Linked DNA regions of Callithrix jacchus. The protein of the gene in region 1 interacts with the protein of each later gene in a pairwise test. Links are inferred from orthologs where the notes say so. Each region holds a gene or a part of one and is shown on either strand. Other genes may lie near its edges. The genes, in order: APOA1 and APOC1.

Region 1 (15,611 bases):
TATATGTTGAATGTATATGAACATACTTTCCTATTTCTGTTCTCTGAAAATGTCAGAAGTATTTTTTTCTTTCTCATTTTATGTTGAACTAAAAAGGATTAAAAAAAAATCTCCAGACTCAAGTTGCTAAGACCTTTTGTCCTTCCTTTTGTGAGGCAACTTATATACAACTTGGTTACTTAGTGGGACAGTAGGAGGTTGTGTAGATAGGAGCCTGACTCTGTTCTTAGCCTGATAGATTATTTGTGCTTCGGAGTATAGTTGGGAGAAGGCTCAGGTAGGTGGGAGCTGGAGCAGCGAAGGCTAGAGAGGTCTCCCAGGCTTAGGGTGGGGCTTTGAATGATTCATGATCTCACCTTATGAAACTCGCATTCTCTAGAAGCCTGAACTCCACTTCACACCCTGTCCCTGGGCATCCAGCTAGGACTCTGCCCTGTCAGAAGGGAGCATTTGAATTTGCTGAGCCAGGTGGAAGACAGCTTCCTTGAAAGGGCACTTTTGAAGAGTACAGGAAAGGATCCTTAAAGAGTGAACACAGGCGGGACTCTTTAAGATGTGACCCTCGTTGGCCTAGTGAGAGTATAGCTAAATAAACATTTGAAAAGAAAGGGATGGGCCAGTCGTGGTGGCTCACACCTGTAATCCCAGCACTTTGGGAGGCCGAGGCAGGTGGATCACCTGAGATCAGGAGTTCAATACCAGCCTGGTCGATGTGGTAAAACCCTGTCTCTACTAAAAATAACAAAAATTAGCCAGGCATGGTGGCATGTGCCTGCAGCTACTCGGGAGGCTGAGGCAAGAGAATGGCTTGAACCCAGGAGGTTGCAGCAAGCCAAGAATGTGCCACTATACTCCAGCCTGGGCAACAGAGGAAGAATCTTAAAAAGAAAAAAGAAGCCGGGGTGAATTTTCCTATAGTTTTCTCCTTTTTCTATAACTGAACTCCAAGGGGCAGGGTAGAGTTTCCAGCAAGGTCCCAGGCATCGCTAAGAGACAGCTGGTTGAAGGTCTATGAAGAAAACTCACTGAAGCTGGAAACACCATCTGAGTTCACGGAAGGAAGAACAAGAGAGAATTTAGAAAGCCAGCTGGGCATGGTGGCATGCGCCTGTAATCCCAGCTGCTCAGGAGGCTGAAGCAGGAGAATTATGTAAGCCCAGGGGTTCAAGTCCAGCCTAGGCAACATAGCAAGAGCCCACCTCTACCAAAAAATAAACTTAATCAGGCTGATGGCACATGCCTTTAGTCCCAGCTGCTCAGGAGGCTGAGGCTGAAGAATCGTGTGAGCCCAGGAGTTTGAGGCTGCAGTGAGTGAACCATGATCACACCACTGCACTTCTGCAAAGAAAAAAGAAAGACTTCAAGTCCATGGGGGGCTGTAGAGCCATTTAAATTAGAATAGAAAAGAGCCTTCTCAAGGAGGGTCTTCTGAAACTCCTGAGTCTGTAATATGCTCTCATGCAAGACTAGGTGAGTCTCTAGGCCCAAACAGTGATCACACCCAGATGCCATCCAACAAATTGTAGCACCTGTTGTAATAAGTGCCACTCCCTCCTAAAATCAGCCAGGGTGGGCTGGGCGCTGTGGCTCACACCTGTAATCCCAGCACTTTGGGAGGCCGAGGCGGGTGGATCATGAGGTCAAGAGATCAAGACCATCCTGGTCAATATGGTGAAACTCTGTCTCTACTAAAAATACAAAAAATTAGCTGGGAATGGTGGCGCGTGCCTGTAATCCCAGCTACTCAGGAGGCTGAGGCAGGAGAATTGTCTGAACCCAGGAGGCGGAGGTTGCGGTGAGCCGAGATCGCGCCATTGCACTCCAGCCTGGGTAACAAGAGCGAAACTTCGTCTCAAAAAAAAAAAAAAATCAGCCAGGGTGCCTTTTGGACCAGGGGTAGGGTGAGATTCTAGAGGAAGCAGAGCACTGGCTCCTGGATACAGACTGGAGAGCTCAGCTCCAGAAAACAGGAACTGTGCTGACAGATTCCTACCCAGTTTTCTTTCTGACTTTGTGCCAGCCCCCACCCCACACCAGCTACAAAGATAAAGAATTCAGAGGGCGGCCTCCCTCCTGCTGGTCAAAGATGAGCTCTGTCCTGGCCTTAGTCCCCTGAGGAGGGCAGGAGAGAATCTTGCTTAGTTGGTGGCAGTGCCCCGCCCAAGGGTCTAACTTGGGGCTCTATCACAAGAGCTGCAGCAAAATTGCCGAATAGGAAATACTGGGGCTAGGAGTCCTGTCTCCCCTGCTTAGTCAGCACCTCCCCTCCCTGAGTCTCATTCTGGCCCACGCCACATGCTCCCAGAAGAAATGTTCTGAGCAGGGATGGTATGTGGCTGCCTCCTCTCCCAGGACCACGCCTCCCTACGACCAGGCTGGTGACCCTCTGTTTAGCATGCCAGTGCCATTCACTGAGCAGATGTTTGGCGGGTGTCTTTTATGTGCAAGACCTAGCAGGGGACAGAGTCCTCCCAGTGCAGACTGGCCAGCACACTGGGGCATAAATTGTGAAAGGAGTCGCTAATCTTTCTGTGCAAAATCCACTCGTGCAGTAGCTGTCAACACTCCCACACTTCAGGGCATCCAGAGCCAGGACTTGGTGACCAGGTCAGGAGCAGTGGAATCTCCCAAGATGAGGAAAAGAAGTGGGTGGAAATAGGGGCCTACAATGGGGGCCCTGCAGCTACTAAACATCCCAACCTATGGGCACTTAGCACCTCGAACAACGCCTGGCTAGACCCTGAGTCTGAGTCCGTCATGAGCCCAGTTGGTGGTAGTTAGTTTTTCCATAGGCTCTGTCCAGAAAGACTTCTTTTCTCTCCAAAATATTAGTAAATGGGCTTTGGTCTAGTTTCAGCCAAATACCTTGCAATGAAATGAAGTGAATTTCATTCCTGGTGAATAAGTATATTTAAAAAAAGGACAGTGGGCCGGGCGCAGTGGCTCAAGCCTGTAATCCCAGCACTTTGGGAGGCCGAGGCGGGTGGATCACGAGGTCGAGAGATCAAGACCATCCTGGTCAACATGGTGAAACCCCGTCTCTACTAAAAATACAAAAAATTAGCTGGGCACGGCGGCGTGTGCCTGTAATCCCAGGTACTCGGGAGGCTGAGGCAGGGGAATTGCCTGAACCCAGGAGGCGGAGGTTGCGGTGAGCCGAGATCATGCCATTGCACTCCAGCCTGGGTAACAAGAGCGAAACTCCGTCTCGAAAAAAAGAACAAAAAAAAAAAAAAAAAAAAAAGGACAGTGGCTCATGCCTGTAATCCCAGCACTTTGGGAAGCCAAGGAAGGCAAATCACCTGAGGTTGGGAATTCAAGACCAGCCTGACCAGCATGGAGAAAACTGTCTCTACTAAAAATACAAAATTAGCCAGGCGTGGTGGCACATGCCTGTAATCCCAGCCACTCGGTAGTCTGAGGCAGGAGAATCGCTTGAACCCAGGAGGCGGAGGTTGCATTGAGCCAAGATCGCGCCATTGCACTCCAGCCTGGGCAACGAGAGCAAAATTCTGTCTCAAAAAAAAAAAATAAATAAAAATAAAAGCAAAATACTCCCTGCTTGGTAAGATGCTGTTCAACAGTACCCCCTATCCTGATGCCTTGCAGTCCCTGAGCCAGGAAATTGAGCAGTCCCTGAACAGACTGCAAAGGCTGCAGGCTCTGCAAGGCTGCAAGGCCACCCTCAAAGAACTAGAAGCCAGGCTTTCCCAATTCCCACCCCTGCCAGCGCTAACTAGTAACAGCTGAAGGATGCAGGGCAGCTCTGAACTGCAGTTTTCCCACAGGCAAAATGACAAAGGCAAAATCTGGCCTCCAGCCTTCCAGGGACATTCTAAGTTGTGAAAGTACTTTGGCCACTAAAGAACTGTGCAAATGGTAAGTATTAGGTTTAGCCATAACAATCACTTTAGTAACAAACCAAAGAAAAGAGTAAAACACTGGCAAGTAGGGCCGGGCGCGGTGGCTCACACCTGTAATCCCAGCACTTTGGGAGGCCGAGGCGGGCGGATCACAAGGTCAAGAGTTTGAGGCCAGCCTGGGCAATATGGTGAAACCCCGTCTCTATTAAAAATACAAAAAAATTTGCTGGGCATGGTGGTGCATTCCTGTAATCCCAGCTACTTGGGAGACTGAGGCAGGAGAATGGCTTGAACCTGGGAAGCGGAGGTTGCAGCGATCCGAGATCACACCACTGCACTCCAGCCTGGGCAACAAGACTCTGCCTCAAAAACAAAAGACAAAAAACACTGGCAAGTATCTTGGAGTCCAACCAGTAAGCTTCTGAGATTCCCCCAAGTGCTAGCTGGGATAGACTCTAACCCCCAAAAGAAAGGACCCTCTCTTGGCCTGAGAAATCTGTGAGCTGTCCCCGCAGGGGACCAGCCACCTTCCCACTTTCTAAAGCTACAGACAGCTGGGATGGCCAAGTAGGCAGCCCAGGCTGACGGCTCACTAAGGCCACCTCCCTCTCTGCACAGTCCCACAGACATCTGGGGCCACTTCAGTCCTGGAAAAGATGTCCCATATTTCAGCAACTGCAAGTCAAGGCCAAGCAGAGAAAAGTGGGATTCCTCCCTTCATGCCTGCTGCAGAAGCTGAGGTCTCAGGTGTGGTAAAGCAAGTGTCGTGGGAATAAAGGAAAGAATACCAGAAACTGGGATTCTAGAAAACAGAATAGTTACTACTTACTAAGTGCTAGATACCTTTCTAACAGTTTTGCATATACGTTCAAATTTCATGCTTACAACAACATACATTTATTATCTTACAGTTATGGAGGCCAGAAGTCCAAAATGGGTCACACTGGTCTAAAATCATGGTGGCAGCAGAACTGTGCTCCTTCTGGAGGCTGCAGGGAAAAATCCTTTGCCTTCTGCAGCTTCTAGAGAAGGGCTGCCCATGTCCCTCCCTCATGCCCCTCTTCCAGCAGTCCCAAGTCTGACCTCTGCTGCCAACCCCACCCCTCCTTCTCTGACTCTGACTCCGCTGCCTCCCTCTTACATAATTAAGGACCCCCGAGATGACAATGGGCCCACCTGAAGAATCCAGGCTAACCACCCCATCTCAAGGTCCTTAATCACACTGGCAAAATCATTTTTTGCCATGGAAGGTAGCAAAGTCACAGGTTCCAGGGATGAGGAATCTTCAGGGATGTTATCCACACAGTAACCCGGCCATAACTCAGGGCGATGGCATGTTCTATCATTATCTTCAATCAGGAACTATGTGTGAGGAGGTTACATAGCATAACTCATCCAGGGTCAAACAGCTAATAAGTGGCAGAGCTGGGAATCAAATCTAAGGTTTTCTGGCTCCAGAATCTTCTCTGAAATAAAAGGCATGAGGCCGACCACTCCCCGATCTGGTAAACAGAGACGTCAGGCTGGTTTCTAGAGTTTCCCGGGCTGAAGGTGCAGGGTACATTTCTGCCATGTGTCCTAAGTCCAGAGACCGGGTTCTAGGTCCAGCCTTTCTTCTAACTCCCTGAGAGATGAGAGCCTTTGGGCAAAGTCCCTTCATGCTCTTCAGTCTCTTCATCTGTGAGACGGTGGTGTTGGGAGAGGCTGGAGTGATCTCACAGTTCCTCTCAGCCTGCATCACAGGCTCTAGGACTCAGGTTCTGTCAGTAACCTGCTGTGGGAGGTCTGGGCCTTCCCGGAGAAACCTTACAAGATGGTGCTGCAAACACCAACGGATGCATTCACAGGCTGTCTCGGGGGCCTCTGACAACTCTGACCATTCTTGCCCCATTTTGCAGATAGGAAACTGAGGCTCAGAGAGATTACATAACTTGCCCACTGTCTTCCTCCAGCAAGATGGAGGCCGAGTAAAACGGGAAAGCAGGTCTCCGGCCACTTCCTTGCCCAGGGGTCTTCTTCCCACACCAGGGCTTCCAAGGGCTAGGATATCGTCTCACCTGTGTATCATCAAATGTGTGAACAATGCAAAGGAAGGCGTCTTCACTCTAAGGGACTTCAACTCTGCAATGTTATTCTGAGGTTATGCCCCCCCCTTTTTTTTTTTTTTTTTTTTGCTAAAGTCTTTCCTTTTTGAAGTGATGGTCATGGTAGACATGAGGGTTTTTGGAGGCAGACGATATCTTTACATGACAAAATTAAAAGTTGGCAGCTCTGGATTGGTCTCTATTGTGTTTTGAAAGGCAAGAGGTCTCTGAAACCTCAGTCTGGGTACCACAGAGCCCTCTCCCCTCTCCCCAGGTTTACCAATTTGGGGGACTTGGAGAGAGGCCTGCAGGACCTGCTGGGGACCAAAGAAGCACAGTGGTGGGAGGAAGGGGTGGGGGAAGAGGGGTGGGAGTGATGTAGTCTCCCTGGAATGCAGGATGGTGGGGGAGGAGGTCTCCTGGGTGGAGGAGTCCCAGCGTCCCTCCCCTCCCCTCTGCCAGCACAATGGACAATGGCAACCGCCCACACACTCCCATGGAGGGGAAGGGGATGAGTGCAGGGAACCCCGACCCCACCCTGGAGACCTGCAAGCCTGCAGCCACTCCCCTCCCGCCCCCACTGAACCCTTGACCCCTGCCCTGCAGCCCTGCAGCTCGGCAGCTCGCTGTTTGCCCACTGTATTTGCCCTTCCCCAGGGACAGAGCTGATCCTTGAACTCTTGAGTTCCACATCGCCAGGACCAGTGAGCAGCAGCAGGGCCCAGGCTGGGCTTATCTGTCTCCCTGCCCAGCCCCTGGCTGCAGACATAAATAGGCCCTGCGAGAGCTGGCTACTTAGTCTTCCAGAAGAAGGTGAGTGTTTCTGCCTGCCCAAGAAGGAGGTGAGTGCTGCTGCCTGTCCCGGGTGACTCTGGCTACCCAGCTCGAGGCGAGGCATCGAGGTTCAGGCTCTGCCCCAAGCCAGGCTTCTGGGAACCTGAGGTCTTCTCCCACTCTGTGCACATTCTCCTCACCTGGCTGTAATGAGTGGGGGGAGCAGGGGGCTTCAGCATGCTAGAGACACACCCCTCCTGCCGCCACTCAGCCAGGCCCTTCTTCTCCTCCAGGTCCCCCACAGCCCTTCAGGATGAAAGCTGCGGTGCTGACCTTGGCCATGCTCTTCCTGACGGGTAGGTGTCCCCCAGCCTAGGGAACCAACCATTGGGGGGCTTTCTCCCTAAACCCCTTTGGCTCACCCTCCTGGGCAGAGGCAGCAGGTTTCTCACTGGCCCCCTCTCTCCCATCTCCAAGCCTGGCCTTTTGGCTCAGATCCCAGCCCACAGTTGGCCTGATCTGAGTCTCCCCTCCCACCCTCAGGGAGCCAGGCTCGTCATTTCTGGCAGCAAGATGAACCTCCCCAGAGCCCCTGGGATCGAGTGAAGGACCTGGCCACTGTGTACGTGGATTCAGTCAAAGAGAGCGGCAAAGACTATGTGTCCCAGTTTGAAAGCTCCATGTTGGGAAAACAGCTAAAGTAAGGACCCAGCCTGGGGTTGAGGGCAGGGGCAGGGGGCAGAGGCCTGTGGGAAGATGTTGAATCCAGACTGGTGAGTCCTCACCTACTATCTGACGAGCTGGGCCCCACAAATGGTCTGGATGCAGAGACCGGAATGGGAGCCCCGGGCAGAGTCACAGCCCATGCCCCCTGCAAAGGTCAGACCAGGGCTGCCTGATCTGTGGTAACAACGCCAGCTTGTGCCTACAAGTGCAGCAGCCCCCTTGCCCTTCGTCACCTCCTCTGCTCCTGCCCAGCAAAAGTGTGGGCTGTCTTGGGAGAGGAGAATATGCTGGAGGCAGAGAGGTGAGGTCCTTCAAGGGCCCATTTTGGAGACCAGAGAACTGGGCACCAGTCCCAGCTCTGTCTCTTTCTTAGCTCCTCTCTGTGCCTCGGTCCAGCTGCACAACGGGGCATGGCAGGGCAGGGCAGAGGTGTTGCTTGAGAGTGTTGAAACTCTAGGCCACTGCACCTTCGCGGACAGGTGTCGCCCAGGACTCACCCCGGGTTGGTTGGGGCGCTGGGAGGCCAGCCCTCAACCACTGTGTTTCCCCGTCCAGCCTGAAGCTCCTGGACAACTGGGACAGCTTGACCTCCACTGTCAACAAGCTGCGCGAACAGCTCGGCCCGGTGACCCAGGAGTTCTGGGAAAACCTGGAAAAGGAGACAGAGGTGCTGAGGCAGGAGATGAGCAAGGACCTGGAGGAGGTGAAGGCCCAGGTGCAGCCCTACCTGGACGACTTCGAGAAGAAGTGGGAGGAGGAGATGAAACTCTATTCCCAGAAGTTAGAACCGCTGCGCACGGAGCTCCAGGAGGGCGCGCTCCAGAAGCTGCAGGATCTGCAGGAGAAGCTGAGCTCGCTGGGAGAGCAGGTGCGCGACCGCGCACGCGTCCACGTGGACACGCTGCGCACACAACTGGCACCCTACAGCGACAAGCTGCGCCAGCGCTTGGCCACGCGCCTCGAGGCGCTCAAGGAGAGCGGCGGCGCCAGCCTGGCCGAGTACCACGCCAAGGCCAGCGAGCATCTGAGCACACTCGGCGAGAAGGCCAAGCCCCTGCTCGAGGACCTTCGCCAAGGCCTGCTGCCCGTGCTGGAGAGCTTCAAGGCCAGCTTCCTGAGCGCGCTCGAGGAGTACACCAAGAGCTGAGCTCCCAGTGAGGCGCCAGCCGCCGCTCTCCTTCCCGGTGCTCAGAATAAACGTTTCCAAAGTGGGAAGCAGCTTCTTTCTTTTGGGAGAATAAAGGGGGCGGGGGGGGGCGGGACATCGGGGGAGCCCGGGTGGGGCCTTTGGCCCTGGCCCAAGGACTTCCAGCCGGATCTCAACAACTCCGTGCCCAGACCGAGCCTCTTAGGGCCAAGATGGATGCTGGAGGACCTGCTGGAGGCCTGGCTGCTTGTGAGGGAGGGAGTAGAGTCTGCCTTAGCAAGGCTCAAGTAGACAGGAAGTCACAGCGGACCACCAAAGCCACAGACAATCCAAGGCCAAATGTCCTGAAAGAGGATCAAACGAGGCCTACATCCCTGTCCGAGACAGGCCAGGAAACAGGGTTACTTTACCTGGGGGCAGTGGGGTTCCCAGTCCCCAGAGGTGTTCCCACACAGAGCCGCTTTCAGAGGGGTGGGGGCAGAGCGGCCTCAGGGAGCAACTGGGACAGAGGTTAGGCCAGGTACAGCGAAGTGCTTGGAGTTTGCGCCTATACTCCTTTATTAATTCAAAAACCTGTCAAGCAGACAATTCCCTTTTCACAATCTCCCTCCCACTCCTCCCATCCCACCTAGCAATAGCCACAGCATCCTCAGGCACAGCAGTGGAAGCCAGCCCCCCGCCCCCTGCGGCCCCATGCGGTGCCACCCGGTCTTTCTGCTAGCTCTGACAGAAGCTGACCTGGGTCAGAAAAATCACCACCACCTCTTGCAGGTACATTTTTATTTCCAAGATGCTCTCATATCTGTGATCTCACTGCATCCTCCCTTCCCCACATCCTGTGTAGATTGCCATGGCACAGCGTGGATGAGGATGCTGAAGCCCTAAGATGGGATGTTGCTTGCCCAGTGAACAGCAGGATGGGCTAGGCAACCCTATTTAGACCCTGCGCTCCTCGACATCCATGATTAAGAGTGTATGGGTTGTGTGCAATGGCTCACGCCCGTAATCCCAGCACTTGGGAGGCCAAGGTGGGTATCATTTGAAGCCAGGAGTTTGAGATCAGCCTGGCCAACATGGTGAAACCCTGTCTCTACTAAAAATACAAAAAATTAGCTGGGAATGGTGGCTTGCACCTGTAATCCCAGCTACTAGGGAGGCTGAGGCGGGAGAATCGATTGAACCCAGGAGTCGAAGGTCACAGTGAGCTGAGATTGTCCCACTGCACTCCAGCCTGGGTGACCAAGACTCTAGCTCAAAAAAAAAAAAAAAAAAGAAGTGTGTGGCCTAGCACGCAAGTTCACATGGGTGTGCAGGCATGCCTGCATATTCTCACGTGACCTCCCTGCTCACAGTCCCTCTGTGCACCCATGTCTGAATGTCCCCGCGTGCATGCACATGGCTCCACAGATCTGGGCAGTGCACCCATAGAGCCTTCCCTGCCCTCTTTCTGCAGGACCTTTTGCCCCATCATGCAGGCCCCTGGGTAATCTGCCCCGTCCCCATAGCCCCATCTCCAGTGTATCTTAGCTACCCCTTGGAAAAAGGAGTCAGCTCTTTAGTTCCTAATCTTCCAGAGCTACAGCAGACAGACAGCCAGGTCTGGGTGGGAACATTTTCCAGATAAGGGTGCTGAGATCTCTCGGTGCAGAGAAGCCCTAGGGAATTTCCAGAGAGAAAGCAGTCTTCAGGTGGGGCCGGAGGTACTGATGCCACTGAGATCTGTAAAGAAGCCCCTAACACCTGACACAGAAGTGACAAAACTTTTCTGCATCAACTGAGCAGAATACACATGGCTGACCTGGGCTCAAGGTCTGGCCCTGCCACGTGCTGGTTCTGTGGTGCTGGGCAACTGTGTTCGCCTCTCTGGGCCTCAGTTTTTTCATCTGAGGAGTGGAGGCCTACTCAAGCCATCTGCAGCTCTAGAGCTCTCTGGCCTGACATCTTTCAGGTGGTGGGGACACGAAGGCCCCCTCTGTTGGTGTGACCTTGTGCTCCTTTTTGGATTCCAGGACACTGCCCCCTGCCACTCCAAGCTGCGTCCCAAGGGCCCAGTCAGCTCAACTATAATGATGACAACATTTATCAGGCATCTTCACATGCAGGGGCTGGGCCAAATGGTTTGAACACTCTCATTTCAATCTCATGACACACCTGAAGTGGAGGGGGTACTGTCGTACCCATTTTACATGTAAGGAACTGAGGCTGATGTCAAGTGGTGGAGCCAAGACTAGTGCCTCATTGCATCTTACTCCAGCCACGAGCCCATCCGGCCTCCTCCCCTCACCTGTACCTGCCAGGTGGCCTGGGTAGGGGAGGTCAGTTCCACAGCTTTGAGTGAACACACACAGTCTCAACTCTGATGAGGACTTAAGTGCCAGGCATAGTGGCTGGCATAGGGCACCCACTCAAGTCATGTTGAGCAGCACCTAACAGTTTATCAAGTATCAGCAAATATATTGTCCTGTTTGGTCTTCCACATAAACCTGTCAAGGAAGGCAGGGTACGGAGGATGATTCCTACCGTAGAGATGAAGAAAATGAGGTCCAGAGACCGCCCAGCTACCAGGAAGTGGACAGAATGCTGGCCAGTGCCCACCCACAGAACAGCCTTAGCCCTTTCCAATGCCCAGACACAGATGGCACACTTGCGACGGGCCACTCATAGCAGCTTCTTGTCCAGCTTTATTGGGAGGACAGCATGCCTGGAGGGGGCCAGGCATGATGGGGAGTGGGAGGGCAATGAGAGTATTGTCCCTTTTAAGCAACCTGTGGGGGCAGCCTGGAGACTGCGGGACCCAAGGAGCTGGCAGGATGGACAGGCAGGTGGACTTGTGGAGTTGAGGTCTCAGACACCCTCGGCCAGAGTTGTGATCTCCGGGCTCGAATCCCAGAACTCAGAGAACTTGCCCTTAATGGTGCTCCAGTAGTCTTTCAGGGAGCTGAAGCCATCGGTCACCCAGTCCCTAAATCAGTAAGGAGAAGCAATGGAGGTGGGGGGGGGGGGCGTGAGAACTCCTCCATAGGCAACATGGGACACACACCCATGTCCCCACTGGCTCTCCCCGACACCCTCTCAACCTCACTTGACAACAGCCCAGAGATCTCAGGCAGGAATCACCCACGGCCGCCAGCCTGGGAGAAGAGATACCCTCCCAGGGACCCCAGCCAAGTCCAACTCTGCTGTCTCCAGGTCACATCTGGATGATGTTTGTACCCCTGGGCCTAAGGCACAGAGTGACATGGTGGGGACATGTGAAAGGTCAAGGCTGTCATTGTTTTTCTGTGCAAACAGCACCCCCTGGAGTTGTACATCCTGGTGGCTCTAAGTGGGGTGGGGCAGAGGGAGGCAGCCTCTCATTTGGAAAGTCATTAGAGGATTAATTAGCCGTGTGATCTGAGGCAGGTCACCTACTTGCTGTGAGCCTTAATTTTCTCATCTGCAAAGTGGGAAAATAGCGCCTACCCCATGGCGGGTTCTGAGGACTAAGAATATTTAAGCACACTTCTGCTATGCCCGCCAATGCCAGTCGGGTGAGGTGGAGAAGGGAGTGGGGGAGAGGAGAGGACCGGTGAGCAGTGGCAGGATGAGAGAGAAGGCAGGATGGGAGAGAAGGATGGGCTTCTGCTCACACGGGCCTCAGCTCTTGGAACAAGGCAGAAGTGCTCTCACGCCCAGGCTAGAATTGGGTCAGGTGGGTCAGGTGAGGCCTCCCAAGGCCAACCTCTAGCCCAGGAGTCCCCAAGCATCAAGTCACAGACGGGTACTGGTCTGTGGCCTGTTAGGAGCTGGGCGGCACAGCAGGAGATGAGTGTTGGGGATCGAGCATTAGCGCCTGAGCCCCGCCTCCTGTCAGATCAGGTTCTCACAGGAGTTTGACCCCCCTATTGCGAACTGTGCATGCGAGGGGTCTGGGTTGAGCGCTTCTTATGAGAATCTAAGGCCTGATGATCTCAGGTGGAACAGTTTCATTCACCCTCAAACCAGACCCGCTAGTCTATGGAAAAATTGTCTTCCACAAAACTGGTCCCTGGTGCCAAAAAGGTTGGGGACCACTGCTCTAGACAGACCTTTGGAAAAAAAAAGTGGGGGGCTAGGTGCAGTGGCTCATGCCTGTAATCCCAGCACTTTGGGAGGCTGAGGTGGGTGGATCACCTGAGGTCAGGAGTTTAAGACTGGCCAGACCAACATGGTAAAACCCCGTCTCTGCTAAAAATACAAAAATTAGCTGGGCGTGGTGGTATGTGCCTGTAATCCTGTAATCCCAGCTACTTGGGAGACTGAGGCAGGAGAATGGTAGGAGAATTGCTTGAACCTGGGAGGCAGAGGTTGTAGTGAGCCAAGATCGTGCCTCTGCACTCCAGCCTGGGTGACAGTGAGACTCCATCTCAGAAGCAAAAAAAAAAAAGGGGGAAGAAAAATGGAAATAAGGGCTAAAAATGGCCCGCCCTAGGGCTGCCCTGGGGAGCACAGAGGGACTGGGAGGTATGCAGTCCCGACTCTGTCATCTCTCCTGCAGCAGCCTGACAAAGGCTCTGTGAGAAAAGAGGAGGCCAAAGAGGAATAGGCCCAGGGGAGGCTGGGAGCACCGCGGCTCCACTGCTGGGCTCCCACCAGGGCAGGGGCGGTGGGGAATGGAGGGAGCCGGCAGGGAAGATGGGGAGGGAGGGCTGGCGGGTGTACCTGGCCTGCTGGGCCACCTGAGACTCCTGCACTTTGCTCAGTGCGTCTTTGGCAGTCTTGGTGGCGTGCTGCATGTAGTCCTGCATGAAGCTGACAAGGGAGGTGTCCTCGGCCTCTGAAGCTCCTGAGGAAAGAGCAGGGCTGAGCAGGCTGCATGGGCCTCTGGTCAAGCCCTGGGGTCCTGCTTGACCACCCATTGGGACCAGGATCCCCAAGCCACCTCCACCTGCCCCCAGCCCAGTCCCACCAAGTGCTTACGGGCAGAGGCCAGGAGTGCCAGGAAGGCAGTAACAAGGAGTACCCGGGGCTGCATGGCACCTCTGTTCCTGCAGGGAAGAGTCCTGTGAGGAGCACCCCAGAACTCCATGCCTCCCTGAGGAGGCGGCATGGTCCCTAAGGTAGAACCTGAGCTGAGTCTGCAGAGGGAGAATGGGCCTGCTCCCTGCTAAAACAGGCTCTCAGAAGGGGGACTGGTGAGGGGCAGGGGACCGAGGCCCAAAGGGAGGTGGGCAGCATGGAGCAGAAAACCCACCAGCCTGGACATCAAGGCATCTGCAGTCTGGACTGCTCTCTGTCCAGTCCAGCCAACATGCTGTGTGACTTCGGGTGATTTCTGGCCTTCTCCAGGTCTCAGTTTCCCTGTTTGGGGTAGGCCTGGGCTGGCTAAGGCTTCCTCCAGCCCTAAGCCTGCAGAATGAGGGGGGCATGCACTTGGAGCCAGTTCCAGCCCCACCCGCTATGTAGCTTTGGGCAAGTGACACCCTCCCAGGCCTCCATTTTCTTCAGGTTATGGTGAGAGGTGGGGGCACCCATTCAGCTCCGAGGTGTCCTTGGCTCTAGCAGGTGCTTCTCCAGGCTTGCTGGCTAGGCTGGGCAGGGAGCCCCTCTTGCCCCTCTTCATCCTCCTCCCCTCCTCTTCCGCCTCCCCAGAAGGCATTACCTGGAGCAGCTCCCTCTAGAGATGAACTGAGTGGACAGGCAGGAGGGCTCTGACCTGTTTTATATTGTCTCCAGGGCAGCGGGCACTGATGACCAGGGCACCGGGCAAAGGTCACCTGCTGACCAGTCGAGACCATGGCCTGAGGCAGGGTGGCCGGATGCAGCCAACTGGTGGGAGAGTTGGGAAATCCCTAGGAGACTGTGCCCATGCTGCTGTCCCGCCAGCCTTGCGTCCCGGATGGGCTCAGGAACTGGGGGTGGGCCTGGTGAGTCCCCCTATTCCTTCCTAGCAGACTGGCTCCTCAGGGAGAGGCTGGTGGGAGGGGAAATGGCTTAGGGATAGCCAGGGGCCTTGGGCCCATCTCAGCCCTTTACACTGGAATTTCAGGCCCCTCCCTCTGCCAACCCCAAACCCTGAAAACAGCCTGAAGAGGACTGAGGGGCTTCTTCAGACCTGAGAACAAGCGGTGGGGTTGGGCTGGGGGATTTCTGGAGGGAAGGCATGGAAGAGAAGGCAGCAATGGCCCCTGCAAGGCCCGGTGACAGGGCTGCGCTCTTACAGCCCCCTCCAGCACCTCCATCTCTGGGTTTCAATCCAGGTGGGTGAGCGCTGCTCACCCTGCAGCACCCCACTACCCCGTCCCCTGTGTGCCCACCCCCATCTCCCGCTGAGTTCAGGACAGGGTTTGGTGGAGAAGGGCCAAGGTCACTCAGAAACCAAGGCCTTTGTCCTTCTCTCCGCCAGCCTGGCTCCCTGCCTTGCCCTCTGGACCCACTGATAACATCCCCCGGGGCAGGAGCTGGTCTCATGGCTGGGGCTCTCCCCAACCAGGCCCCAGGACTGATTCTCTGGTTGGGCTTCCTGGGCTCCTCAGTGTGGTTGGGAGAAGAGCAACCCTCACTGTCCGCTGGCTGTGGGAGCACCCAGGAGGAACAAGGTCTGGTGAGGACAGGGCACAGAGGAGTTCTGCGGGCATCAGTGGTCCGGGAGGGAACGCCAACCCTTCTCGGGCTGAGATGTCCCCTGGGCTCATAGTGAAGCTGTGGTAGGGATGGCAGGATGAGGGGGCCTGTCTTCTGGATGCTGAGACCTTGGAGCCAGGACATCCAAGGCACTTATATGACCCAGGCCACAGAGGTAACATCTCAGAGCTTCAATTTTCTAGAATAAAATGGGGCCAGAATACGGATTTCCCAGAGTGGTGCTGAACAGGAAATGAGATAGAGATGTACAAAGCAGTGGGTCCACCAAGGGGCTCGCGCATCCCTCCCTTCCTCCCAGACCGCGGAGTCTGCAGGCAGAAGGAGTCTCCAACATAAAATAGAGCTCTGGCAAGCCATCCTCTCAGAAGAAGCAATTAACACCACAGTGTGAAATCAGAGGCCTGAGAAAGTGGC
Region 2 (15,695 bases), on another chromosome or scaffold:
GCATGTTGAAAAATTGAATTATGGCCGGGCATGGTGGCTCACTCCTGTAATCCCAACACTTTGGGAGGCCGAGGCTGGCGCTTCACCTGAGGTTGGGAAGAAACCATGTCTCTACTAAAAATACAAAAATTAGCTGGGCTTGGTGGCACATGCCTGTAATCTCAGCTACTCGGGAGGCTTAGGCAGGAGAATCACTGAGGCAGAGGTTGCAGTGAGCCGAGATTGTGTCATTGTACTCCAGCCTGGGCAACAAGAGCGAAACTCCGTCCTCACAGAAAAACAAAAAAAGAAAAGAAAAATTGGTTATAATTCACATTCCACAAACTTTGTTTATTTATTTTTTTGAAATGGAGTTTTGCTCTTGTTGCCCAGGCTGGAGTGCAATGGCACAATCTCGACTCACTGTAACTTCTGCCTTCCAGTTTCAAGCGATTTTCCTACCTTGGCCTCCCGAGTACCTGGGATTACAGGTACATGCCATCATGCCCGGAAAATTTCACCATGTTGGCCAGGCTGGTCTCGAACTCCTGATCTCAAGTGATCCACCGGCCTCAGTCTCCCAAAGTGCTGGGATAACAGGTGGGAGCCACCGCGCCCCACCACTGATTTCAATTCTTTTTTTTTGAGATGGAGTTTTGCTCTTGGTACCCAGGCTGGAGTGCAATGGTGCCATCTCAGCTCACCGCAACCTCCTGGGTTCAAGCAATTCTCCTGCCTCAGCCTCCTGAGTAGCTGGGATTACAGACACGCGCCACCATGCCCAGCTAATTTTTTGTATTTTTAGTAGAGACGGGGTTTCACCATGTTGACCAGGATGGTCTCAATCTCTTGACCTTGTGATCCACCTGCCTCAGCCTCCCAAAGTGCTGGGATTACAGGCATGAGCCACCTCGTCCGGCTTCTTTTTTTTTTTTAAGAGACAGGTTCTCGTTATGTTGCCCAGGCTGGAGTGCAGCGGCTATTCACAGGCGCGATCCCACTACTGAGCAGCATGGGAGTTTTGACCTGCTCCATTTCCGACCTGGGCCGGTTCACCCCTCCTTAGGCAACCTGGTGGTCCCCTGCTCCCGGGAGGTCACCATATTGATGCCGAACTTAGTACAGACACCCGATCAACATAGTGCACTACAGCCCAGAACTCCTGGGCTCAAGTGATTCTCCAGCCTCAGCCTCCCGAGTAGCTGAGACTACAGGCACGCACCGCCGCGCCCGGCTTGATTTCGGTTCTTTTGAATAAGCACCCAGAAGTGGGATTACGGGATCATCTGATAGTTCTATTTTTAATGCGTTGAGGAACACGAATACTGCTTTCCACAGTGGCTGCAGTGTTTGATGTTTCCACTAGAATTGTAGAAGTCCCTTATATATTTTGAATATGAATCCCTTATTAGATATGTGGCTTACAAATATTTTTCTTATGAAATCTTAAGCTGAGTGCAGTGGCTCACAACTGTAATCCCAGCACTTTGGGAGGCCAAGGCGGGTGGATCGCTCGCGGTCAGGAGTTCCAGACCGGCCTGGCAAACATGGCAAAACTCCGTCTCTAAACAAATAAGCTGGGCATGATGGCACATGCCTGTAATCTTAGTTACTCAGGAGGCTTAAGCAGGAGAATCATTTGAATTAGGGAAGCGGAGGGTGTAGTGAGTGGAGATCATGCCACTGTACGCCAGCCTGGGTTACAGAGCCAGACCCAATCTCAAAAAAAAAAAAGAAATCTTAATTACATAGGGTTGTATCACATGTTTATGTGGTTTAATTTTACATGAGAGCTGGGCACAGTGGCTCATGCCTGTAATCCCAACACTTTGGGAGGAGGCTGAGGCAGGAGGATTGCTTGAGCCCAGGAGTTGGAGACCAGCCTGGCCAACATGGCGAAACCCTGTCTCTACTAAAAATACAAAAAGTAGCCAGGTGTGGTGTGCATGCCTGTAATCCAGCTGCTAGGGAGGCTGAGGCAGGAGAATCCCTTGAACCCAGGAAACGGAGGTTGAAGTGAGCCTAGATCGTGCCACAGCACTCCAGCCTGGGGGACAGAGTGAGACTCTAGTCTCAAAAAAGCAAACAAACAAACAAAACCAAAAAAACAGTCATGGTGTGGTGGCTCATGCCTGTAATCCCAGCACTTTGGGAGGCCGAGGTGGGTGGATCACGTGGTCAGGAGTTCAAGACCAACCTGGCCAAGATAGTGAAACCCTGTCTCTATTAAAAATATAAAAAGTTGCCAGGCGCATGGCTCAAGCCTGTAATCCCTGCACTTTGGGAGGCCGAGGCGGGTGGATCACGAGGTCAAGAGATCGAGATCATCATGGTCAACATGGTGAAACCCTGTCTCTGCTAAAGATACAAAAAATTAGCTGGGCATGGTGGCGCGTGCCTGTAATCCCAGCTACTCAGGAGGCTGAGGCAGGAGAATTGCCTGAACCCAGGAGGCGGAGGTTGCGGTGAGCCGAGATCGCGCCATTGCACTCCAGCCTGGGTACCAAGAGCGAAACTCTGTCTCAAAAAAAAAATTAGCTGGGCATGGTGGCACATGCCTGTAATCCCTGCTACTTGGGAGGCTGAGACAGGAGAATCGTTTGAACCCAGGAGGCGGAGGTTGTGGTGAGCCGAGAATGCGCCACTGCACTCCAGCCTGGGTAACAAGAGCAAAACTCCATCTAAAAAAAAAAAAAAATATATATATATATATATATAAAGTTGGCTGGGCTCGGTGGCTCATGCCTATAATCCCAGCACTTTGGGAGGCCGAGGCCAAGAGATCGAGGATCACGAGGTCAAGAGATCGAGACCATGCTGGTCAACAAGGTGAAACCCCGTCTCTACTAAAAATACAAAAATTAGCTGGGCATGGTGGTGCGCGCCTGTAGTCCCAGCTACTCGGGAGGCTGAGGCAGGAGAATTGCTTGAACCCAGGAGGCGGAGGTTGTGGTGAGCTGAGATCGTGCCACTGCACTCCAGTCTGGGTGACAACAGCAAAACTCCATCTCAAAAAACAAAAAAACATGTATATATATATATATGAAGTTATGGCCGGGCGTGGTGGCTCACACCTGTAATCCAAGCGCTTTGGAGGCCAAGGCGGGCAGATTACCTGAGGTCGGGAGTTCAAGACCAGCCTGACCAACATGGTGAAACCCCATCATAAAAAAAAAAAAGGTAATAAAATCAAGTAAAGATAATTAAAAAAAAAATACATATATATAAAGTTAGCTGGGCGTCACGGTGGGTGCCTGTCATCCCAGCTCCTTGGGAGGCTGAGGCAGATCATTGCTTGAACCTGGGAGGTGGAGGTTGCACTGACCTGAGATTGTGCCACTGCACTCCAGCCTGGGCAACAGAGCAAGACTCCATCTCAAAAACAACCCCCCAAAAACAAAAACACCCGCAGCTACTCATCTCAGATAGACCACAGCAGGACAGTGTAACATAGTGATATTGCCGGGCTGAGGGTTCAATCCAGTTCCAGGTCTCCAGTTCCTGGCTTCGTGACCTTATACAAGTAAATTCACCTCTCTGGATCTCAATGCCCTTTTGGGATTAATAAGGCCCAGTTTGCAAGGTTCTTAGGAAGATTCTTTTGAGACCATGGAGTTACAACATCCTCAGCACAAGGCAAATAGATTGAGCAGTGGAAGGCTTGTGAGGAGTCCCTAAGATGCTGCCCCTACCCTCTCCTGCAGCCCCTACCCCACAGTGAGGAAGCAGTCAGAATTTTCTATAGGATTTTTATTGGTGGCACCTGGAGCCACATGGAGGGAGTCCTCAGCACAGGCACTGGGGTGTGGTAAATTTCAGAGCCCCCTCCTGGGGTATCATCCTTCAGGTGCTCATGATTCAATCCCGAGTTTCTCCTTCACTTTCTGCAGTGTCTCTGAAAACCAGTTCCTGTGGGGAGGAATAAGGAAGGGAGTCACTTTGTGCAGCTACCTTCCAGGCTGTCCAAATTCTACCTGCCACCTGACTCCCAATCTTCCTCTTGCTGAATCTGCATCCTCATTGTCTGTGGGATTAGGAGGACCGCTGGGCTGTGTGGGCCAACTTCTGTGCCTCAGTTTCCCAGATAGACCAACGCACATTGAAAGCTAAACACTTTACCCTTGGCTGGGCATGGCTCACACCTGTAATCCCCGCACTTTGGGAGGCCGAGTCAGGCAGATCACTTGTCTCCAACCTGGAGTTCGAGACCAACTTGGCAAACATGGTGAAACCCCATCTCTACTAAAAATACAAAAATTAGTGAGGCATGGTGGCCCACGGCTGTAGTCCCAGCTACTCACGAGGCTGAGGCAGGAGAATCACTTGAACCTGGGAGGTGGAGGTTGCAGTGAGCCAAGATCAGGCCACTGTACTCCAGCCTGGGAGACAGAGCAAGACTCTGCCTCAAAACAAAACAAAACAAAAACCCAGAAGGAATCATTAGCCAGGCATGGTGGCCAGCGCTGTAATCCCAGCTACTCAGGAGGCTGAGGCAGGAGAATCGCTTGAACCTGGGAGGCACAGGTTGCAATGAGCTAAGATTGCACCACTGCACTCCAGCCTGGGCAACAACAGTGAAACTCCATCTCAAAAAAAAAAAAGACACACTTTACCTCTTCACCCTGGCCTGGATTTTAAGGCCTGCCATCTCTTGCTACCAACCCTTTCTTCAAGCCTGCCCTTGCCCTAGCTGTTCCCCTACTCATTCAAAGGTACTTTCCAGCCTCACTGCCTTTGGCCAGACAGTTCCCCTGCCTGAAATATCACCCTCTCTTGATTATCTATCAGCCTTCGTGCCTTAGGACCTTTGGCTCTGCCTCCAAACAATCTTTTTTTTGAGACGGAGTTTCACTCTTGTTACCCAGGCTGGCGTGCAATGGCGCGATCTCGGCTCACCGCAACCTCCGCCTCCTGGGTTCAGGCAATTCTCCTGCCTCAGCCTCCCGAGTAGCTGGGATTACAGGCACGCACCACCATGCCCAGCTAATTTTTTTTATTTTTAGTAGAGACGGGGTTTCACCATGTTGACCAGGATGGTCTCGATCTCTTGACCTCGTGATCCACCCGCCTTGGCCTCCCAAAGTGCTGGGATTACAGGCTTGAGCCACGCACCCGGCTCTTTTTTTTTTTTTTTTTGAGATGGAGTTACCCACTTGTTGCCCAGGCTGGAGTGCAGTGGCGCCATCTTGTCTCATCACAACCTCTACCTCACAGGTTCAAGCGACTCTCCTAACTAAGCCTCCGAAGTAGCTGGGATTACAGGCATGTGCTACCAAATCTGGTTAATTTTTTGTATTTTTAAAGAAGAGACTGGGTTTCTCCATGTTGGTTAGGCTGGTCTTGAACTCCCGACCACAGTTAATCCACCCACCTCAGCCTCCCAAAGTACTGGGATTATAGGCGTGAGCCACTGCGTCGAGCCTAATTTTGTATTTTTAGTAGAGATGGGGTTTCCCCATGTTGGTTAAGCTGGTTTTGAACTCCCAACTTCAGGTGATCCACCTGCCTCGGCCTTCCAAAGTGCTGGGATTACAGGCAAGAGCCACTGTGACCAGCCTCTAAACAATCTTTCCAAGTTTAGCCCTAGCTAGATTTTTCCTTCCTTCCTTTCTTTCTTTCTCCCCCACCTCCCTCCTTCCTTCCCTCCTCCCTCCCTTCCCTTCCCTTCCTTCTTCCTTTCCTTTCTTTCTTTCTTTATAGGAGTTCAGGAAACTGTCCCTGAAGTCTGAGCACCTTGAGATCTAGCTGTGTGACCAGAGGGAAGTTGTCATCCTCTTTGGGACTTTTTTTTTTTTCAATCTGTTCATCTTGGCTCATCCTCCAGGGCTCCACCCAAACACACCCAGCCCTCCAGTGGGAAGGGTTCTAACCGAGTCTTGGCAGGAATGTCACTCTCTTTGACGCGGTTGAAGAATTCCCGAACCTTGTCCTCCATTGTATTTCCAAACTCCTTCAGCTTATCGAAGCCGCTGGAGGTGTCCACGCCCTCCGGGGCCCCCTGGGCTGGGCCTGGGCCTGCCAGGAACATGGGCAGGGGTGCAAATTCTTTTTTTCTTTTCTTTTCTTTTTTGAGACGGAGTCTCACTCTGTTGCCCAGGCATCTTAGCTCATTGGAACCTCCGCCTCCCGGATTCAAGCAGTTCTGCTGCCTCAGCCTCCTGAGTAGCTGGGATTACAGGTGTGCACCACCAGACCCGGCTGATTGTTTTGTATTTTAGTAGAGACGGGGTTTCACCATGTTGGCCAGGCTGATTTCGAACTCTTGACCTCAAGTGGTCCGCCCGCCTCGGCCTCCCAAAGTGCTGGGATTACAGGCGTGAGCCACCGCGCCCAGCCAAATATTTGTTATTGGAAACCCCTTAGGATAAGATACCGGGAGATTCTTGGGGATCATGTTGTTAGAAAGGGGAGGACACTGGAGTGACCGGGTGGGGCTCAAGCTGCTGAGCATTGCCTTATTCAGCTGACCCCCTCCCCCAGCCCCCAGCCCCGCTCACCCACTTTCAGGGCTGTAGAAGCAGGACAGCCAGTCCCAGAGGGACGGGCGTCAATACGTCATCGGTTGCTAGGGCCCTCCTGGGCAGATTTGGAGCCTGCCGGACTGAGCCTGGAAGAACCTGTAGCAACCTACCCGATAGCAACGGGACAACTGCGACCCAGAAAGGGCTCCGGAGCGCTCAGAGGTTCTCTAAGCCGGGGCCCCAGGCCTGTAGCCACCATCACTCTTCCACATCTCCAACTCCCCAATTCTACTCCACTTTTACCTTCCAAGATCATCAGCAGAACCACCACCAGGACCGGGAGCGACAGGAAGAGCCTCATGGCTGGGCAGGAGGGGTACTCTGGGGGCAGAGGCAGGGGTGCAGGGGATCAGCGGCACCCTTCTCCCTCCCTCCCTCCCTCCACGATCCCCTCGTCTCCTCTTTTGAGTTCCTGCAGCGGGGAGGCGGGCGTCCCCCCCCCCGGACAGTCAGCACCAACCTGAATCCTTGCTGGAGGGCTCGGGTGGGGATGGGAGATCCCGGCGCCCGCAGGACCTTTATCAGGCTGGTGAGGGGGCGGGGCAGGTTGATGCTGATCTCCCTCCTGCGCCTTCCCCTGGCCGCCTGCCTCCCTCTGCCTAGCCACGTGTTTCTACTCTGCCCCTGGCCCGTGGGCGTTGGGGTCAGGTGAGGTCCTAGGCACTTCCCTTAGCCCCAAAGCCTCAGCACCCTCACCTCCCAATCTTCCTGACTCTGGGGCGTCCTCAGACTGCCATTGCCCCTTTCCCCACTCAGAGGGCAGCCTGGTTCTGTCCCTATGGCCATCTTCCTTCAGGGGGCTCCCAGTAATAACCCTGTGAGCTCATCCACGCCTCATTCACACCGTGTCCCTAGACCACCTCTTCCCTCCACTTCCTCTCTCTTAGCAAGCCTCCTCAGCCCCAACTTTTCTTTATGTTGCTGGGGTCTCCAGGTTGGCCCCACACTCCTACCCTGAGTGCCACTTCCCATCTCTTTCAGACCAGCCCTTAAAGCCCCTAGACCACCCTCTTATTCTCTGGGCTTTTTTTTTTTTGAGACTGAGTTTTGCTCTTGTTGCCTGGGCTGGAGTGCAATGGCACGATCTTGGCTCACCACAACCTCGGCCTATTGGGTTCAAGCAGTTCTCCTGCCTCAGCCTCCCACGTAGCTGCAGTGACAGGCATGTGCTACCAGGCTTGGCTAATTTTGTATTTTTAGTAGAGACGGGGTTTCTACTTATTTTTTTCTTCTTTTTTCCTTTCTCTTTAATCAAGTAGATGAAGTGAGAGACGGGGTTTCTCCATGTTGGTCAGGCTGGTCTCGAACTCCTGACCTCAGGTCATTCACACACCTTGGCCTCACAAAGTGCTGGGGTTACAGGTATGAGCCACTGCCCCTGACCTGCTTTTGGCTCTTAACTTTATGGTTCTCAATCTCCCTTTTTTGTGAGGGGAAGGGGATGCCTCAGCTGGATGACACTGCAAAAACCTCACCTGCATTGGCCAGGGGTGGTGACTTATCCCTGTAATCCCAGTGGTTTGGGAAGCTGAGGTGGGAGGATCGCTTGAGCCTAGGAGTTCAAGACCAGCCTGAGCAACATAGAGAGACCTCATCTTTACAAATAAATTTAAAAATTAGCCAGGTGTGGTGGCGCATGCTTGTAGTCCCAGCTACTCAAGAGGCTGAGGTGGGGGGATTGCTTGAGCCCAGGAGTTTGAGGCTGCAGTGAGCCATGATTTTGCTGCTGCACTCCAGACTAGTGGACAGAGTGAGACCCCATCTCAAAAAATTAAAACCCTCAGCTGTAAAGCTTAAATGTATGCCCCTTCCTCCTTCCACCGGGCCTCACCCCATTTGCCTGGCTACTTCCCCGCAACACTCTATCTACTGTTATTCACCCTCTGAGGCCCCTCCTGGCACCAAGCCCACTTCCCCCCATCACCACATCCGTCACCCTGGGCTGGAGTCCAATGCCTTCCCCACCAGCTGCCTTTGACCGCCAGTGACCCTGGCAGCTAGTGGGGAGGGTGGCTTCGGCCCAGCCTCAAACTCTAGGTTGGCTGGCCTTGTGCCCCCACAACCACGTGTCAGCCTGGCGGTAGGGGGATGGTTGTGAAAGGGACGCATAGACAAGACCCTGGCAGAATTGCAACATCTCTCTGGCCAGCTCAGAGCTTCCAGTCCCTGTCAGCCCCAGAGGGCCCCCTACTTCCCCAACTGAGCCCAGCAGTCCCCAGACATCCACCCAGATGTCTGCTTCCCTGACCCCACAAGAATAGAATAGCAGTGCTCCTGCTTTTCCACCTCCTGACCCCACAAGAATAGAACTGCAAAGCTCCTGCCTTTCATCCTCCCACCCTCTGCTATAGGGGTTTCTGTTTTATACATGGGGAAACTGACACACAATGAAGAACATCCAGTAGGGCTCAGCGAGGGACAAAGAGGGAGTTGTGGGGGCGCAGTGGCTCCCGTCTGTAATCCCACAACTTTGGGAGGCCGAGGTGGGCGGGTCACTTGAGGTCAGGAGTTTGAAACCAGCCTGGCCAACATGGTGAAACTTTGTCTCACCAGTGAGCTGAGATTGAGCCACTGCACACCACTGAGACTCTGTCTCAAAAATATAAAGAAATAGGCTGGTCGTGGTGGCTCATGCCTGTAATCCCAGCATTTTGGAAGGCCGAAGTGGGCAGATAACAAGGTCAGGAGATGGAGACCATCCTGGCCAACATGGTGAAACCTCGTCTCTAGTAAAAATACAAAAATTAGCTGGGCATGGTGGCACAAGCCTGTAGTCCCAGATACTCGGGAGGCTGAGGCAGGAGAGTCGCTTGAACCTGGGAGGTGGAGGTTGTGGGGAGCTGAGATTGTGCCACTGCACTCCAGCCTGGGTGACAGGGTGAGACTCAGTCCCAAAAAATAAATAAATAAATAAATATAAAGAGGGAGCTCTTTGTCTGTCTCCGTCTAGGATCCGGGATGTCTCTCTGGATGGTTGCCGGGGTCAACTCCTGTCCCGTAGGACTCCCTGCCGGCCTTTGTTCTGGAACCTCCTTCCCATCCCTGTCCCAACTCTAGATCTGACCACAGATGTGGTGAGATAGGGCGCCCAGTCTGCTTAGAAGTCTTCACAGGTCAGCTGGGTGCAGTGGCTCACACCTGTAATCCCACCACTTTGGGAAGCTGAGGCAAGAGGATCTGCTTGATCCCAGGAGTTTGAAATTAGCCTGGGCAACGTAGTAAGACCCCATCTCTACAAAAAGTTTTAAAATCTGGCTGGGTGTGGTGGCTCATGCATGTAATCCCAGCACTTTGGGAGGCTGAGGTGGGTGGATCACTTGAGGTCAGGAGTTGGAGACCAGGCTGACCAACATAATGAAACACGCTCTCTGCTAAAAATACAAAAAATTAGCCGGGCATGGTGGCACATGCCTGTAATCCCAGCTACTTGGGAAGCTGAGGCAGGAGCATCCGTTGAATCCAGGAGGTGGAGGTTACAGTCAGGTCAGATCGCGCCATTAAACACCAGCCTGGGAAATGAGTGAAACTCTGTCTCAAAAAAAAAAAAAAAAGTTAGCCAGGCATAGTGGTGGGTGCCTGTGGTCCCAGCTACTCGGGAGGTTGAGGCAGGAGGGTCACTTGAGTTGGAGGCTGCACTGATCTGTGAGCACCCTACTGCACTCCAGCCTGGGTGACAGAGCAAGGCACTGTCTCAAAAAAAAATTATTTATACATGAGAACTCAAGGGTCGACTCTTCAAGTGGGAGATGGGGCTGATGCTGCTCCCCTCATTGACATCTGGGTGCTGCCCCAGCCCCTGGACATACAGTGAATCAGCAGCAGGCCCAGCGGACCAGGCCCCCTGCCTGTGAGCACACTGACCCTTCCCCTCCTCACGCAGACCTGGTGAGTCATCTCTGGCGGAGGAGAGCTGCCTCCACAGGGGTGATTGGAGCAGCGCCAGGGAAAGCACCGCGTCTGGAGTGTGCACGACGGGCAGAGGAACGTGCAGATGTTGCAGCTGGCCCACGAGATACAAGCTCAAGTTCTGGCCTGTCCCCCGTTGGTGGGAACCCTGCTCCCCATCTCTGGGAACTGAGGGGGTGGGAGGGAAGGATAGTGCCGGCGGCTCCTAGGCTTTCATCCAAGATTCCCCTCTCTGAGCGCCAACTCTTTTTTTTTTTTTTTTTGAGACAAAGTTTTGCTCTCGTCCCCCAGGCTGGAGCGCAGTGGCGCGATCTCGGCTCACTGCAACCTCAGCCTCCTGTGTTCAAGTAATTCTCCTGCCAAAGCCTCCTGAGTAGCTGGGATTACAGGCACTCACCACCATGCCCAGCTAATTTTTGTATTTTTAGTAGAGACAGGGTTTCACTATGTTGACCAGACTGGTCTCCAGCTCCTGACCTCAGGTGATCTGCTCTGCGCGGATCTCATCTCAGCGTGGCACCTGGGGCAGCCTTCCATAGAAGGAGCTGCTCCCTTCTCTTCCCAGCCTGGACTCAGCACCCGGTAGGCTTGTTGGGAAACATGAAAGGTGGACATCACAGCTGGAGGAAGGGATGGAGAATGAGGGATAGGCTGGGCGAGATGGCTCACGCCTGTAATTTCAGCACTTTGGGAGGCTGAGGCAGGCAGATCATTTGAGATCAGGAGGTTGAGGCTTGCCTGGTCAGCTTGTTGAAACCCCATTTCTACCAAAAATACAAAAATTAGCCGAGTGTGGTGGTGCATGCCTGAAATCCCAGCTACTCCGGAGGCTGAAGCAGGAGAATCGCTTGAATCTGGGAAGGGGAGGTTGCAGTGAGCCAAAATTGCACCACTGCACTCCAGGCTGGGCAACAGAGGGAGACTCTGTTAAAAAAAAAAAAAAAGGAAAGAAAATGAGGGTTGGGGCAGGGAAGCCCAGTTCCTAGTGGGTGAAGGGACAGCTAGCTAGAAGGGAACTGGAGAAGCAAGGGGCTCAAACAAAACCGGTGGCGGAGGGACAAACCCAGATGCAGAAGGGAGGGGGGAAAGAAAGCAGGCCTGGGAGAGAGAAACTGTAGGAGGGAGAGATAAAAGATAGAGGTGGAGGAAAACAGGAAGCCAGAAAATGACATCTCCTAAGGAGAGCATGGAGAGACAGTGGGGGGTGGGGGTGGGGGTAGGGGGGAGGAGACGGGAAGGAGGCAGAAATCAGAAAAGACGGGAGGAGAGAAGGAGGGAGAGTAAAGACAGCAGAAAAAAATAAAAATGGCTTCAGAATAAAGGCACCAGTCTCAGCTCATTTGGGGTTGCAACTCTTGAGGAGCCAGTGTTATTAGGATGGGCAGGCCTGGCACAGCAACTCACTTGCACTTGGGAGGCCGATGGGGGAAGTTCGGTTGAGCCCAGGAGTTGGAGACCAGCCTGAGCAACATAGTGAGACCTCTCATCTCTACAAAGAATAAAAGTAAATAAGCGGGTGCAGTGGTGCTAGCCAGTAGTCCCAGCTCCTCAGGAGGCCAAGGTGGGAGGAACGTTTAAGCCCAGGAGTTCCACATGAGCCTGGACAACACAGCCAGACCCCATCTACACCCACACCCACACCCACCACACAAATTAATCCTGGTGGTGTGCGCCTGTAGTCTCAGCTACTGGAGAGGCTGAGGCAGGAGAATCACTTGAGTCCAGGAGGTGGAGGCTGCAGTGAGCTGTGATCAAGGATAACAGAGTGAGACCTTGTTTTGGAAAAAGGAAAAAGGGGAGTAGAAATAAAAGAGGGGCAGAGGCCAGGCACGATGGCTAATGCCCGTAATCCCAGCATGTTGGGAGGCTGAGGTGGGTGGATCACTTGAGGTCGGTTCAAGACTAGCTCGGCCAACATGGTGCAACCTCGTCTCTACTAAAAGTACATAAATTAGCCAGGTGTGTTGGTGCCAGCCTCTTATCCTAACTACTGAGACATGAGATTTGCGTGAACCCAAGGTGAGGCAAGAGAATCGTTTGAACCCAAGAAGGAGAGGTTGCAGTGAGCTGAGATCGAACCACTCACTGCACTTCAGCCTGGGTGACAGAGCCAGACTCCGTCTAAGACACAGAGGGGAAGGATGGGCTGAGAACTGTGTGGCCAGTGTGCAGGCAGAAAGAGAAATTGAGGCTGGAGCTTAAAGAAAATCACACAGGGAGGCCAGCAGCTGCGGTGAAACTTGGTGAGTCTTTATTATAGGGCCCACCAGGAGGACGGCTGGGTCGGGGGCAGGGTCTCCCGCTGCATGCTGAGCGGAGGCAGGAGGCACGGGGTGGAGTGGGGTCCCCTGGCTGCAGGCCTGGGCGTTTAGTGATTGTCGCTGGGCACAGGGGCGGCGCTGGCGCCCACGGCGGCCTGCACTTTCTCCACCAGTCCGGCCCACTGGCGCTGCATGTCTTCCACCAGGGGCTCGAACCAGCTCTTTAGGCGGGCCTGAAAAGCCTCTGCCTGCAGGCGCATCTGCTGGGCCTGCTCCTCCAGCTTGGCGCGCACCTCCTCCACCTGCTCCTTCACCTCGTCCAGGCGGTCGCGGGTCCGGCTGCCCACATCCTCCATCCGCGCACGCAGCCGCTCGCCCCAGGCCTGGGCCCGCTCCTGCAGCGGCTGGCTGGCCAGGGAGGAGCCCACGGTGGCGGCCCGCGCGCGGCCCTGCTCCACCAGGGGCCCCAGGCGCTCGCGGATGGCGCTGACGCCGCGCTCGGCGCCCTCGCGGGCCCCGGCCTGGTACACGGCCAGACGCTTCTGCAGGTCATCGACGTCGCGGAGGAGCCGCTTGCGCAGCTTGCGCAGGTGGGAGGCGAGGCGCGCCCGCAGCTCGTCCGTGCTCTGGCCCAGCATGGCCTGCACCTCGCTGCGGTACTGCGCCAGGCGGCTGCGCACGTCCTCCATGTCCGCGCCCAGCCGGGCCTGTGCCGCCTGCAGCTCCTTGGACAGGCGGGCTCGCGTCTCCTCTGCCACGGGGCTCAGCTGTTCCTCCAACTCCGACTTGTAGGCCTTCAACTCCTTCATGGTCTCGTCCATCAGCGCCCTGCGGCCGAGAGGGGGAGGGTGTGCGCACAGGGGAAGGCGGGGGTGGGGATGGGTGAGAAGGGCTGGGGTGAGGGCAGGTGGAATGGGGATGAGCCAGAAAGACCTGAAAAAGAGGGAGAGATGGGGAACAGGGCAGAGGCCAAGAGAAGGAGACAGAGACAGACAGATGCAGAGAGCAGAGGCAGAGACGAAGAAGGGGCCAGGTGGCTCACGCCTCTAATCCCAGAACTTTGAGGCCGAAGCGGGAGGATCGCTTGAGCCCAGTAGTTCAAGACCAGCCCGGGAAACACAGTGAAACCCCATCTCCCTGTCTCTCTTTCCATACACACATACAAAGGAGCTAGGGAAGGACAGAGCCAGAGCCAGAGCCAGAGCCAGGACGAGTGTGAGCGACTGAGTCAGAAGAGGGGAGGAAGAGACAGAGCTGGGAGAGAATCCTAGAGAGCTAAAGCTGGGGTTAGAAATGGGAAGAGGAAGCTAGAACCCTCAGAGGCCCAGACGCCCAGGCATTTATGACAGGACACACCATGAAACCTGAACCTGGGGAGTTGCAGCTGCCCACCAGGAGGGTCAAGGGCCGGGATAGGGACACTCACGTCAGTTCCTGGGTGACCTGGGAGCTGAGCAGCTCCTCCTGCACCTGCTCAGACAGTGTTTGCACCCAGCGCAGGTAGTCCCAGAAGCGACCCAGCGCTAGCTCCCAGGGCTGGCCGCTCTGCCAGTCGGCCTGCTGGTGCAGCTCCTGCTCCGGCTCCAGCTCCGGCTCCAGCACTTGCTCCACCTTGCCCTGGCATCCTGTGTGGAACAAGTTCAAGCTGGGTCAGGGTCCTTCTGCCCCCAGCCAGGCACCCAGTACCTGGCACACAGGTGCTCCACAAAGGCTTCTTTGAAGCCATGAGGAGGAGGGTGAGGGTGGAGTCTGCTTAATCACTTGAAAAGCAGTATTAATTTATTTATTTTGAGGAAGAGTCTCACTCTGTTGCCCAGGCTGGAGTGCAGTGGACCAATCTCGGCTCACTGCAACCTCCGCCTCCTGGGTTCCAGCGATTCTCCTGCCTCAGCATCCTGAGTAGCTGGGACTATAGGCGCACACCACCATGCCTGGCTAATTTTTTGTACTTTTAGTAAAGACAGGGTTTCACCATGTTGGCCAGGATGGTCTCGATCTCCTGACCTTGTGATCTACCCACCTCGGACTCCTAAAGTGCTGGGATTACAGGTGTGAACCACTGCCCCCAGCAAAAAAACATTATTTGTTTATTTATAGACTCTGTTGGCCAGACTGGAGTGCAGCGTCTGAACATGGTTCACTGAAGCCTTGACTTTCTGGACTCAAGTGATCCTCCTGCCTCAGCCTCTTGAGTAGCTGGGACCACAGGTGTGGGGCACCACACCTGGCTACTTTTTTTTTTTTGAGACGGTGTTTCATTCTTTTGACCAAGCTGGAGTGCAATGGCATGATCTCAGCTCACCGCAACCTCCGCCTTCTGGGTTTAAGCGATTCTCCCGCCTCAGCCTCCCAAGAAGCTGGGACTATAGGTGCGTGCCACCACGCCTGGCTAATTTTTTTTTTATTTTTAGTAGAGACGAGGTTTCACCGTGTTAGCTAGGATGGTCTCAATCTCCTGACCTCGTGATCCACCCTACTCGGCCTCCCAAAGTGCTGGGATTACAGGGGTGAGCCAGCACGGCCAATGGAAAAGCATGTATCAAGTGTCCTTGTGCGCCCCATGCAGGGCTGGTGGGGTGATGGGGAATAAAGATCACAGTTGATTCGTCACAGATATTCACTACCTACCTGACAACACATTAGAAACCTCTAACTCCCAGCCGGGCATAGTGGATCACGCCTGTAATCCAAGCACTTTGGGAGGCGGAAGTGGGCACATCACCTGAAGTCAGGAGTTCAAGACCCGCCTGGCCAACATGGTGAAACCCCATGTCTATTAAAAATACAAAAGTTAGTTGGACATGGTGGTGTGTGCCTGTAATCCCAGCTGCTGGGGAGGCTGAGGCGGGAGGATGGCTTTAACCCGGGAGGCGGAGGTTGCAGCAGTGAGCCAACATCGCGCCACTGCACTCCATCCAGCTTGGATGACAGAGTTAGGCTGCCCCTCCCCCCACCAAAAAGAAAAAACTCTCATCTCAAGGATTGGGGAAACAGGCCTAGAGAGCATCAATCGCTGTTCAGAGCCAGG

Evidence for each region.
Region 2: the proteins of APOA1 (region 1) and APOC1 interact in a two-hybrid assay, tested with the Homo sapiens proteins (2 studies listed by BioGRID, with this or other methods). The link is inferred for Callithrix jacchus from reciprocal best matches to the Homo sapiens genes APOA1 and APOC1.

What each region holds. Positions count from the first base shown.
Region 1 is NC_133511.1:16,466,577-16,482,187, reverse strand, and holds APOA1 (apolipoprotein A-I), read left to right. Parts: upstream 1-6,586; 5' UTR 6,587-6,760; exon of another isoform or gene 6,761-6,789; intron 6,790-7,014; 5' UTR 7,015-7,034; coding exon 7,035-7,077; intron 7,078-7,264; coding exon 7,265-7,421; intron 7,422-8,002; coding exon 8,003-8,594; 3' UTR 8,595-8,662; downstream 8,663-15,611. Other genes in the region: APOC3 (apolipoprotein C-III), read right to left, coding at 11,439-11,556, 13,275-13,398, 13,533-13,662. UniProt on the Homo sapiens protein: Participates in the reverse transport of cholesterol from tissues to the liver for excretion by promoting cholesterol efflux from tissues and by acting as a cofactor for the lecithin cholesterol acyltransferase (LCAT).
Region 2 is NC_133523.1:39,115,219-39,130,913, reverse strand, and holds APOC1 (apolipoprotein C-I), read right to left. Parts: upstream 6,993-15,695; 5' UTR 6,961-6,992; intron 6,822-6,960; 5' UTR 6,802-6,821; coding exon 6,744-6,801; intron 5,995-6,743; coding exon 5,850-5,994; intron 3,889-5,849; coding exon 3,831-3,888; 3' UTR 3,715-3,830; downstream 1-3,714. Other genes in the region: APOE (apolipoprotein E), read right to left, coding at 12,775-13,495, 14,094-14,292. UniProt on the Homo sapiens protein: Inhibitor of lipoprotein binding to the low density lipoprotein (LDL) receptor, LDL receptor-related protein, and very low density lipoprotein (VLDL) receptor.